2 linked regions of the Drosophila melanogaster genome follow. The protein of the gene in region 1 interacts with the protein of each later gene in a biochemical or structural test. Each region holds a gene or a part of one and is shown in the gene's direction. Other genes may lie near its edges.

Evidence for each region.
Region 2: the proteins of SF2 (region 1) and tra interact in far-western blotting, tested with the Drosophila melanogaster proteins (one study listed by BioGRID).

Annotation. Positions count from the first base shown.
Region 1 is NT_033777.3:16,338,443-16,344,186, reverse strand, and holds SF2 (splicing factor 2), read left to right. Parts: upstream 1-2,198; 5' UTR 2,199-2,295; coding exon 2,296-2,459; intron 2,460-2,588; coding exon 2,589-2,958; intron 2,959-3,240; coding exon 3,241-3,365; intron 3,366-3,424; coding exon 3,425-3,533; 3' UTR 3,534-5,244; downstream 5,245-5,744. Other genes in the region: pad (poils au dos), read right to left, coding at 1-1,143, 1,199-1,581, 1,641-1,793.
Region 2 is NT_037436.4:16,589,559-16,592,776, reverse strand, and holds tra (transformer), read left to right. Parts: upstream 1-1,726; 5' UTR 1,727-1,733; coding exon 1,734-1,773; intron 1,774-1,846; coding exon of another isoform or gene 1,847-1,917; exon of another isoform or gene 1,918-2,021; coding exon 2,022-2,425; intron 2,426-2,482; coding exon 2,483-2,632; 3' UTR 2,633-2,718; downstream 2,719-3,218. Other genes in the region: spd-2 (spindle defective 2), read left to right, coding at 1-1,373; l(3)73Ah (lethal (3) 73Ah), read right to left, coding at 3,003-3,128. UniProt on the Drosophila melanogaster protein: Member of the regulatory pathway controlling female somatic sexual differentiation, regulated by Sxl. Activates dsx female-specific splicing by promoting the formation of a splicing enhancer complex which consists of tra, tra2 and sr proteins.

The DNA of each region.
Region 1 (5,744 bases):
GGGGCGCCTGACGCAGAGAGTCCTGCGGTCTGCTGTTGCTTCACCTGCGGTTGTGGCTTTGTCTGGGTTATCAATCGCTTGAACTCGTTGGTGGACGTGCCATTGCTTCCACCTGAGGACGGCCCCACAGTAGTTTTGCTCTTTGGCGATGGCATCGGTTTTTGCTTTGGAGAAGGCGTTTTAAAAGTGGGGGCTTTCTTGCTGCTAGTGGGCGTGGTGGGAGTCGGTGGAATATTGGTCACATTCCGTATCACCAACTGCGAATTGGTGGTGCTGGTATGTGGAGATCTAATAATTTGCTGAGAGGTCACTTGTGCCGTATTTGGAAGTTGGGTAAGCGGTTGTTGCGGCGCCAGAAATTGATTTTGCGTCACCGTAGTGCCCTGGAAGGCGCTTCCTGGATTGCCCAATGTTTGCGGTGTCAGTTGCAGAGTAGCCGGAATTGATGTTGGTGTCAGCTGCATGATTGGCTGGCCATCCGCAGTGGCCAGCTGAGGCTGAAGTTTCATCTGTACTTGGTATGTCGTGGGCAACACTAGGTTCTTGGTGTCTATGTGCGCCACGATCTGCTGATCCGAATTCTCGTCCCGAATGGTGATAGGCAGAAAGCACTTGTTTGGTGACAGCAGGTTGGTTGTCGACTGCGGACCCGCCAGGCTGGAGAGCAGGGCAGCAGCATTTAGCTGCGTCTGGGCAGGAACTGTCCCTGCACTTGTCACTCCTCCGCTACCTGGCATCAACTGCAGCTGTATTTGCGGCTGACTGCCACCGAATTGCGGCATTGAAGTGGTGAACTGGGGCGCTGTAGGCGAAGAGAGCACAAAGTTCAACTTTGGCTTTTTACTGTCGCCAGAACTTGACGTATCATCCTGAGCGACGGAGTACTGTGTGGTAGCCTGCAGCTGGTTGGTCAGTTGCTGTAGTTGTTGCTGAAGCTGAAGTTGTTGAATCTGCTGCCACAAAGGCTGCAGTTGATCGCCTAGCTGCGGTTGTAACTGCAACTGAGTAGGGTTTATGGTAGGCGTTACTGTCTGGGACTGCAGAGAATGTTGCTGCTGGGGCTTGGCAGGCGATATGGGCTCCTTTTTCCCCAGCGGCGTTATCTTGATGTCAGGCTTGAGGCGTATAAACTCTTCCAAAGCACTAAGTGGATAGAATGTTATTGAGATGATTTTCATGAAAGTGAATTCCCACTCACGTCTGTCTTTCGCTTTTTATTTGAACTTCCGGCATAGCTTGATGCTGCTGCTGCTGCTGCTGTACCCCGTTGTCCATCGTTATGGTGTACTGCTGCTGGGGCTGCATGTTTACCGCCTGGATTATGCTGTTCAAGAGATTTCCGGACTGCTGAGCTCCATTAGGAACTGGTGGAGCTGACTGCGCCACACTGAGGCTCTTCCCAGTTTCATCGACCGCATCCCGAATGTATAGCTTGTCGCTGCTTGGCGCCGGGCGAATATTGAGACAGTTGTTTAGCATGGTCTGTGAGTTACGGCAAGTGGCGCGAAGTCCGTGGATTTGCTCCACCAACTGCACACACTGGGCGCACACCACTTTGGGCAAGCGATCCTTTTCATCGATCTGCAAGAAGTATGGGTTTGTTAGCCAAAAGTAATGGGAGATTGATGCACTAGCACGACCTGCAGTGAGAGACACTCGAGTATCTTTTGGCTCAGATTCTTGGCGCGTCCCTCGGGTGAGTAGATGTTCGTCTTGTGATCGCTGCTGTCCGTGCAGATGCGACACAGGTCGTAGTAGTTAATGCAGCGAACGTTGCTTCCGGCCGCAGCCATTTTTCCGGTGGCTCAGTGGTTTTCGAAATGCTATTTATGTTTAGTGTATTGCACATGCAAATATTTGTTGTCTTTTCTTCGACTGAACGACGCTTAGTGGTGACACTGCGCGAATACATTGCAGCTCGGCGTGATTGGCAATAACTATCGGTAAATTATAATATAAATGAAAGGAACGACATTATGTTTACCCTGCCTTATAACCTTTAACCGAGGAAATTCCACAAACTTCTTAATTTATTTCATTCTAATAACTTATTCATTCTAATTCCCAACTAAGCGAAGTAAGTACTTACAGGGTAGCTATCGATATAAGCAACGAAACTTCCACCTATAGTTTCGTATCAACGTTATAATTATCGATAACTACTGTGCACCCAAGGGATTTACCCAACTCGAACTAACGGTCATACTGCGTCGGCCATTTGTCATTGTGAGCGTGACAAAAATAAGTTCTCTGAAAATCGAAATAGATCGAAGCGTCTGATTTAAACTGGAGAAAATGGGATCACGCAACGAGTGCCGTATATATGTGGGCAACCTTCCCCCAGATATACGCACCAAGGATATCCAGGACCTGTTCCACAAGTTCGGCAAAGTAACTTTCGTCGATCTGAAAAATCGGCGTGGGCCGCCATTTGCTTTTGTTGAGTTCGAAGATGCGCGGTGAGTAATGCGAATACACACAGCTGGCCCAGCGCCCCGGCTAAGACACCCAACTAATTCGCGACAACTGCTTCTCTTCCTTCCTTGACCATGGTCCATATCCTCCGGCTGCCTCTTGGCCCAATTTAGGGATGCCGACGATGCGGTGAAGGCGCGCGACGGCTACGACTACGATGGGTATCGTCTGCGCGTGGAGTTCCCGCGGGGCGGTGGTCCTGGAAGCTACCGCGGCGGCAACCGCAATGACCGAAGCCGCGACGGTGGGGGACGGATGGGCGGACGCGGACCGCCAGCCAAGCGCTCGCAGTACCGCGTCATGGTTACTGGACTGCCCGCCTCCGGATCGTGGCAAGATCTCAAGGATCACATGCGCGAGGCCGGCGACGTCTGCTTCGCGGACACTTACAAGGATGGTTCCGGCGTCGTTGAGTTCCTGCGCCACGAGGACATGAAGTACGCAATCAAAAAATTGGACGACTCTCGCTTCCGATCGCATGAGGTATGTAAATTGTCCAGTTCCAACTTTGTAAAATTCAAATGTATTCGGGTTTCAAGGTAGAGAATTTACTTTTGCATTTATTTTGTCAGCATACATTATTCACAGGCTGGAATAATTAAATATGATTTCAGGAATAACATTAAGTTATATTGGTGTAGATGCTTACACTTACGCCCTTAAATGTGTCAATTTGATAAACATCTAGTTCACATTCCTGTTTACATTTTGAAAAATAGTTTGGCGACATTATTCAAATGATATTAATATTTTTATTGTCTTTAGGGCGAGGTTGCCTACATTCGCGTACGCGAGGATAGCGGTGATAACGACAGAGGCGGTGGTGGTGGCGGCAGCGGTGGAGGTGGTGGCGGCAGCGGCGGAGGTGGAAGCCGTGACTACCGCGACAGGTAAACCAAATATTACCACAGTTCATTTTTCAATATTTATTCTATGAATCCCTCCACAGATCCCGTTCGCGCTCATTCTCGTCGAGGCCGCGCCGTCGTGGCACTCCCACATACTCCCCAGTGCGACGTCAATCTTATTCCAGGTCTCGCTCACGTTCTAACTATTAAACACAACCAAGCATTATCCATTAATCTATAATATTTTAATGAGCAGGAAACAGGAAAAGCAAGCTATATTAGGAAATACCAATCAATATTTGTTCAAGACCCCTCAAATACCCCAATTGTAAATTGATTTGTAAAATGAAATCAACGACCAATCAAGTTTGTTCAGTCAAGTTCCGAACTCTCACCGAAGCCAACATACTTAAAAAAGAAAAACACTTGCTTTTCCAACTTATCACACGTTCTAAGAAGCAGAAATGTTCTCTTAAGTTATAATCCACCGGGCAAAATTTGACAAAAACAGTTCTAAAATGACAACTGTAAACCAAGGAATTCTCTTTGGCCAAAAGCACTCGGCATTCCTTGATTTGCTTTTGATTATCTTTTGAGCCTTTGCTCAGTCTGCTTCCTACATATTATATTATAACTCTTATTTTGGCTGCACGTTTTCCAAGCTAATTTATTAGAATCTACCTTAACGAAAACAAGAAACATCGATACAGAATAAATATGTTTGTAATGAGATAAAGAAAAGAAACAGAAATCCGAACACAACGCAATGTCAACCACATTGATAAGCAAACTATTAATACTTTAATTTTTATTTTCTTCTCTTCCCCATTTTGCGCGTTTATGTTTGGAGAGTGATGAGGATGTGGAGGATGAGGATTAATGGATGTGGAGGAGGATATTTTGATGTTGATTTTGGCGTGGATTGGATAAATTTGGATTGAATTTAGTGGAGGCAGGACCTGTCTATAGATCTTATAAATATGAAAATATTTATTTGATTGTAATCAGGATTGGATTTGGATTTAGGATTGTTCTGAGCCCTTCGCTAGGACAACGTGGGATGCAGTGTCCCATGGCTAACTCGCACCTCGGAGGAGGAGGAGACAGGAATTTCGCATTGTTGAAGGATTTTATGTGTGAACTTTGGTCGTGTTCAGGTTAACGGATGTTTGGAGGAGGAGAATGTCGATGGCATCGTTGACGGTGAGGAACACTTGCGTTGCCCTTGGACAGGACTAAATCATACAGTTTCGGACTCGGCCGCATCTCTTCGAGCCTCGCCCCTTCTTCGGCATCTGCCTAACGGTCGGGATTAGGATTCGCTTGGACAGGCTCACACGCTTTGTTGTCGCCTTCTTTGGATCGCACTTCAGAAACTAGCTCACCCAGGGAACCGCGTATTTCGTGGCCTTCGCGCCCCTGTCGTTGTCATTTCACGGATTTGCTGTGCATCATCCAACGTTGACTTGCGCCCAACGCTGGATAGTGGATAGTGGTTCTTGGTCTGGTCCGATCCGATGCGTTCCGGTCTCCCTCTGTCTCGCCTCTCTGTGGTATGTTAGATTGCCACATCAAATTTAACTTTTAATTTGCGTTATTTAGTTTATAATTTATATACTCTTTACCCAAATCTTTCGTCTCCATTGATATTGTTGCCTCTGAAATGTGGCGATTGTCGCGTGTGCGTTTTGTTTTTCATTTTTTTTGAATAGAAGGGCGAAAATTCATAGGCCCCGACTATAGCCCACACCCGCATCATTTGCATGAACTTTCGTTAACCTAATAAAAAGTAATACCACAGCAATTTTGGAACAGAACAGTTCTCTCGTTCTCCTTGCTTATCGATCAACATATAAGCCATAGTTCTAACATATTTTTGAAATGAAATACACATTTACAATAAATATTCATAAAAATTAAGAAAAATGTCATGCTTTTAATACAACATTATAAGATGGGTGCAATCAAATACTTTTAGCAATTTATCTTGCTGAGATTATGAGCTTAAAATTAGACTGCTAGACTCGTGTAGCAGGTATTTGTGTTTATGGGATGTTCCTGTACTTATGAAGATTACAAATTAAGTTTGCTTGTATTATCTGCAGGAAAGACTTCTGTTCTGGATTTCACAACCTTTGCATTCCGAATCAATTTTAAACTTCCCGCTTATGGATTTTTACAGAGGACTGTTATTAGGGCAATGATGACCGTATTGTTTTAACGCAAAATACCAGATTTCTCTGTGCGAAAAACGATTTTTGGTCACTTTGCAGCACGGCCACACTGGCAAACAAACTATATAAGCAACACGCGCATTTTGTTGTTGGGTTTTTCAAAAAATATTCACCAGCTGTTCGGACGCGCGTGGGAACTGCTCTGTGTTTGTTGTTTTTTATAATTTCGAACGGAACGAACTGGTCG
Region 2 (3,218 bases), on another chromosome or scaffold:
TCAGTCATCGCGATGGAAAACTGCTCCCCCTAAAGGTGACCCACACGACCCTCTGTTGGGGAAGCACAAAGCTGCGGACAGATGTGCGTAAGTCCATGCAGGTTAAGAACACAGCGGACAAACGGCTGGTCATTCGGCTTGGCATCCAGGGACCCGGATTCCAGCTGGTGGGCACCGACAGCAGCACGATCACACTCCAAGCCATGGAATGCCGCTCGGTAGTGATCAACTTTTGCCCCACTGTCTGTGGAGCGGCCATCGGAGCCTTGTCTTTCTATGCACCACCAGGAGCGCATAACAGCAACCAGCCGGGCCTAGAGATTCCGTTGTACGGCTACGGGGGCAGTGCGTCCATCACCATAAACGGTCTGCTAAAGGGACCGGTGGGCGCCAGTTTCCTTACCATCGGCGATGTATGCGAGCTGTCCGCTGGTCCGCTTTCGGCGAATCTCAAGTTTCACAACAAGGGCCCTCTCACCGCTTTCGTTGGTATATCAGTGGACTCCACCGTGCTCATGAAACTGCGCCTCAGCGAGGCCTTCGAGGTACGTCCGAGCCGCTTGATATTGCCGCCAAATAGCGAGCGCTGCGTGCAGATACTTTTCCGACCGAATCGTGAGGACTTGAAGAACATACTTAAGAAGACCGCACAGGTGTTGACCCTGGCCAATATGCGGATTTTCTGCGGAGACGAGCCCAACAGACAGCGTATGCGTAGCTTGGTCCAAAGGATGAGCAGCCGACAGCGAGAGAAACTCACATCGCCGATGCTGGACAGCATTTGGGGCGAATTTCCGGACGAGCAGCCAGTGCGCAACATCGGTCAGCTGAACGAACCGCCAGAGTTTATTCTGGACTTGGTCACAGTAGTGCGGATTATTGATGTTGCGCTTACCCTCAATCGGGACTTTGATGAATCGTCTGAGAGTTCCCTGATGTTCCTGCCGGAGGCCGACGAAACCGTGCTATTCCGCACCATATGTGTGGCCAATTCGCCGACGCCAACGCAGAGCCATCTATTGGAGCCAGTGGATGAGCTATTGGAGGCGGACACCACAACGTTGACGCCCGTCGAGCAAAACTGGTGTGTGCAGCCAGGTTTGCTGGAATTCGGAGTGGGCTGTTCGCCACTGGCCACTTTGTCCGTAACCAACAGCTTCTGCTCCAGGCAGCTCATCGAGGTCACATGCAATGTGCCCGATTTGGTGCGAATCAGTCCCAGTGAGTGCTACGTATCCCCGGATGGCGGCCACGCGGAGATCGATGTGCGCCTGCTCCGCTCACCCAGGCAGGATTTGCTCGAAAGGGAGCCGCTCATTGTGGTCTCCATGGAAAACGAGCGCATCAGTGTCCCGATTAGTTTTAAATTTTAAAATTTGTTTTATTTGTGCCTGCTAATTCTGCTTTCCCTATGTTTGTGTAGTTAGTTTAAACAAAAATTGTATTGTGTACTTGTGAAATGAAACCGTGTTTGCAGAGTATTTGTAAGGAAAACGCATAACCCTAAAGTTAAAATACTCGCTTGTTTCCTAAAAGTTGAATTTAGCTTAAATAAAAACTAATAAAGTATATGAGTTAATTTTAAATTTTGATATGTTGCTCTCGAATATTCAAAAAGTAACGTATATGTAGCGATAGTTCGTCGAAAAGTGAGTTGGCGGGCACATTGCAAGGTGCAAGCCGAGTACGGTCACACTGAGGAAAGTGCATCATTTAATTTCCAGCATTTTCCGATGAAAATGGATGCCGACAGCAGTGGAACCCAGCATCGAGGTACCCACTATATAGTATAACCGATCTGATCAGATTCTGATCCAGTGCCATCTTTTTGTTGTTTTTTTTCTAGTGTCATATTGTGTGAAATGTGAAATGGATGAGAATGAACGCTGGACGACCAGACAGAGAAAGAGAAGCTAGGACAATAGGACTCTCAACTGCGCATTACGTGGATTCCGTCTCCGACGATGCGCCAAACACTATGCGTTAGATGCATTGACTAACCGCACACTCTTTTCACATAGATTCCCGTGGCTCAAGGTCTCGATCCCGGCGAGAAAGAGAATACCATGGGCGATCAAGCGAGAGGGACAGCAGAAAGAAGGAGCACAAGATTCCGTACTTTGCAGACGAGGTTCGAGAACAGGATCGGTTGAGAAGATTGCGCCAAAGAGCGCACCAATCCACCAGACGCACTCGCTCCAGATCCAGATCACAGTCGTCCATCAGAGAGAGCAGGCACAGAAGGCATCGCCAGCGCTCTAGGAGCCGCAATCGCAACCGAAGTCGCAGCAGTGAACGAAAACGCCGTCAACATAGCCGAAGTCGCAGCAGTGAACGAAGACGCCGTCAACGGAGCCCGCATCGGTATAATCCTCCGCCAAAGATCATCAACTACTATGTGCAAGTGCCACCACAGGATTTCTACGTTAGTAGTTATTTGTATTGAAACAAATAACAAATCTAACTTAAATCGATTTTGCAGGGGATGTCTGGTATGCAGCAAAGTTTTGGATACCAAAGGCTACCACGTCCTCCGCCGTTTCCACCGGCCCCCTACAGATACCGCCAGCGACCGCCGTTCATTGGAGTTCCGCGATTTGGCTACAGAAACGCGGGGCGTCCCCCATATTGAACATACTCCATTCGACATAATTACAAATTTATTTACATTCGTGTGTTTTGTACATTAAAATAATAAATACATATATATTTCAAACTAAAAATGGAGAACATAAAATATTGCAAACGGAGAACGTTGATTAAATCATGAGCAAATGCAGCAAAGAAGGCGGCAAAAAAAGGGTCACACGAGTTAGGAAGTGGAAGTTACTTAATTCTAGGAGGGATAACCATATATTTACGACTTTATACATGCACATTTACACATACACTCATGGTTTCGAGGGGACTAACACTAGCGACTCTCCTAATTACGATATTTACGCATTGTCAATAAATTATAAAAATAGATCATTTGTTGTGGCATTATACTAAAACAGTGGTTAGAGCTCGACCCGCGGACGAAACTGCAGCCGAAGCGGCGGATCCCGGAAGCGCCAGCGCGTCACGTAGACGAACTTCAGCGTGTGATCCTTGCCGAGCAGCTCCTCGTTGCACAGTATGTCGATCTGAAAGATAAGATACGTAGTTATCATATAAGTATGTGCCATGTATACAAGTAACTAAGCCAGTCTGAGCTTTCACTGAGAGCAGTTACT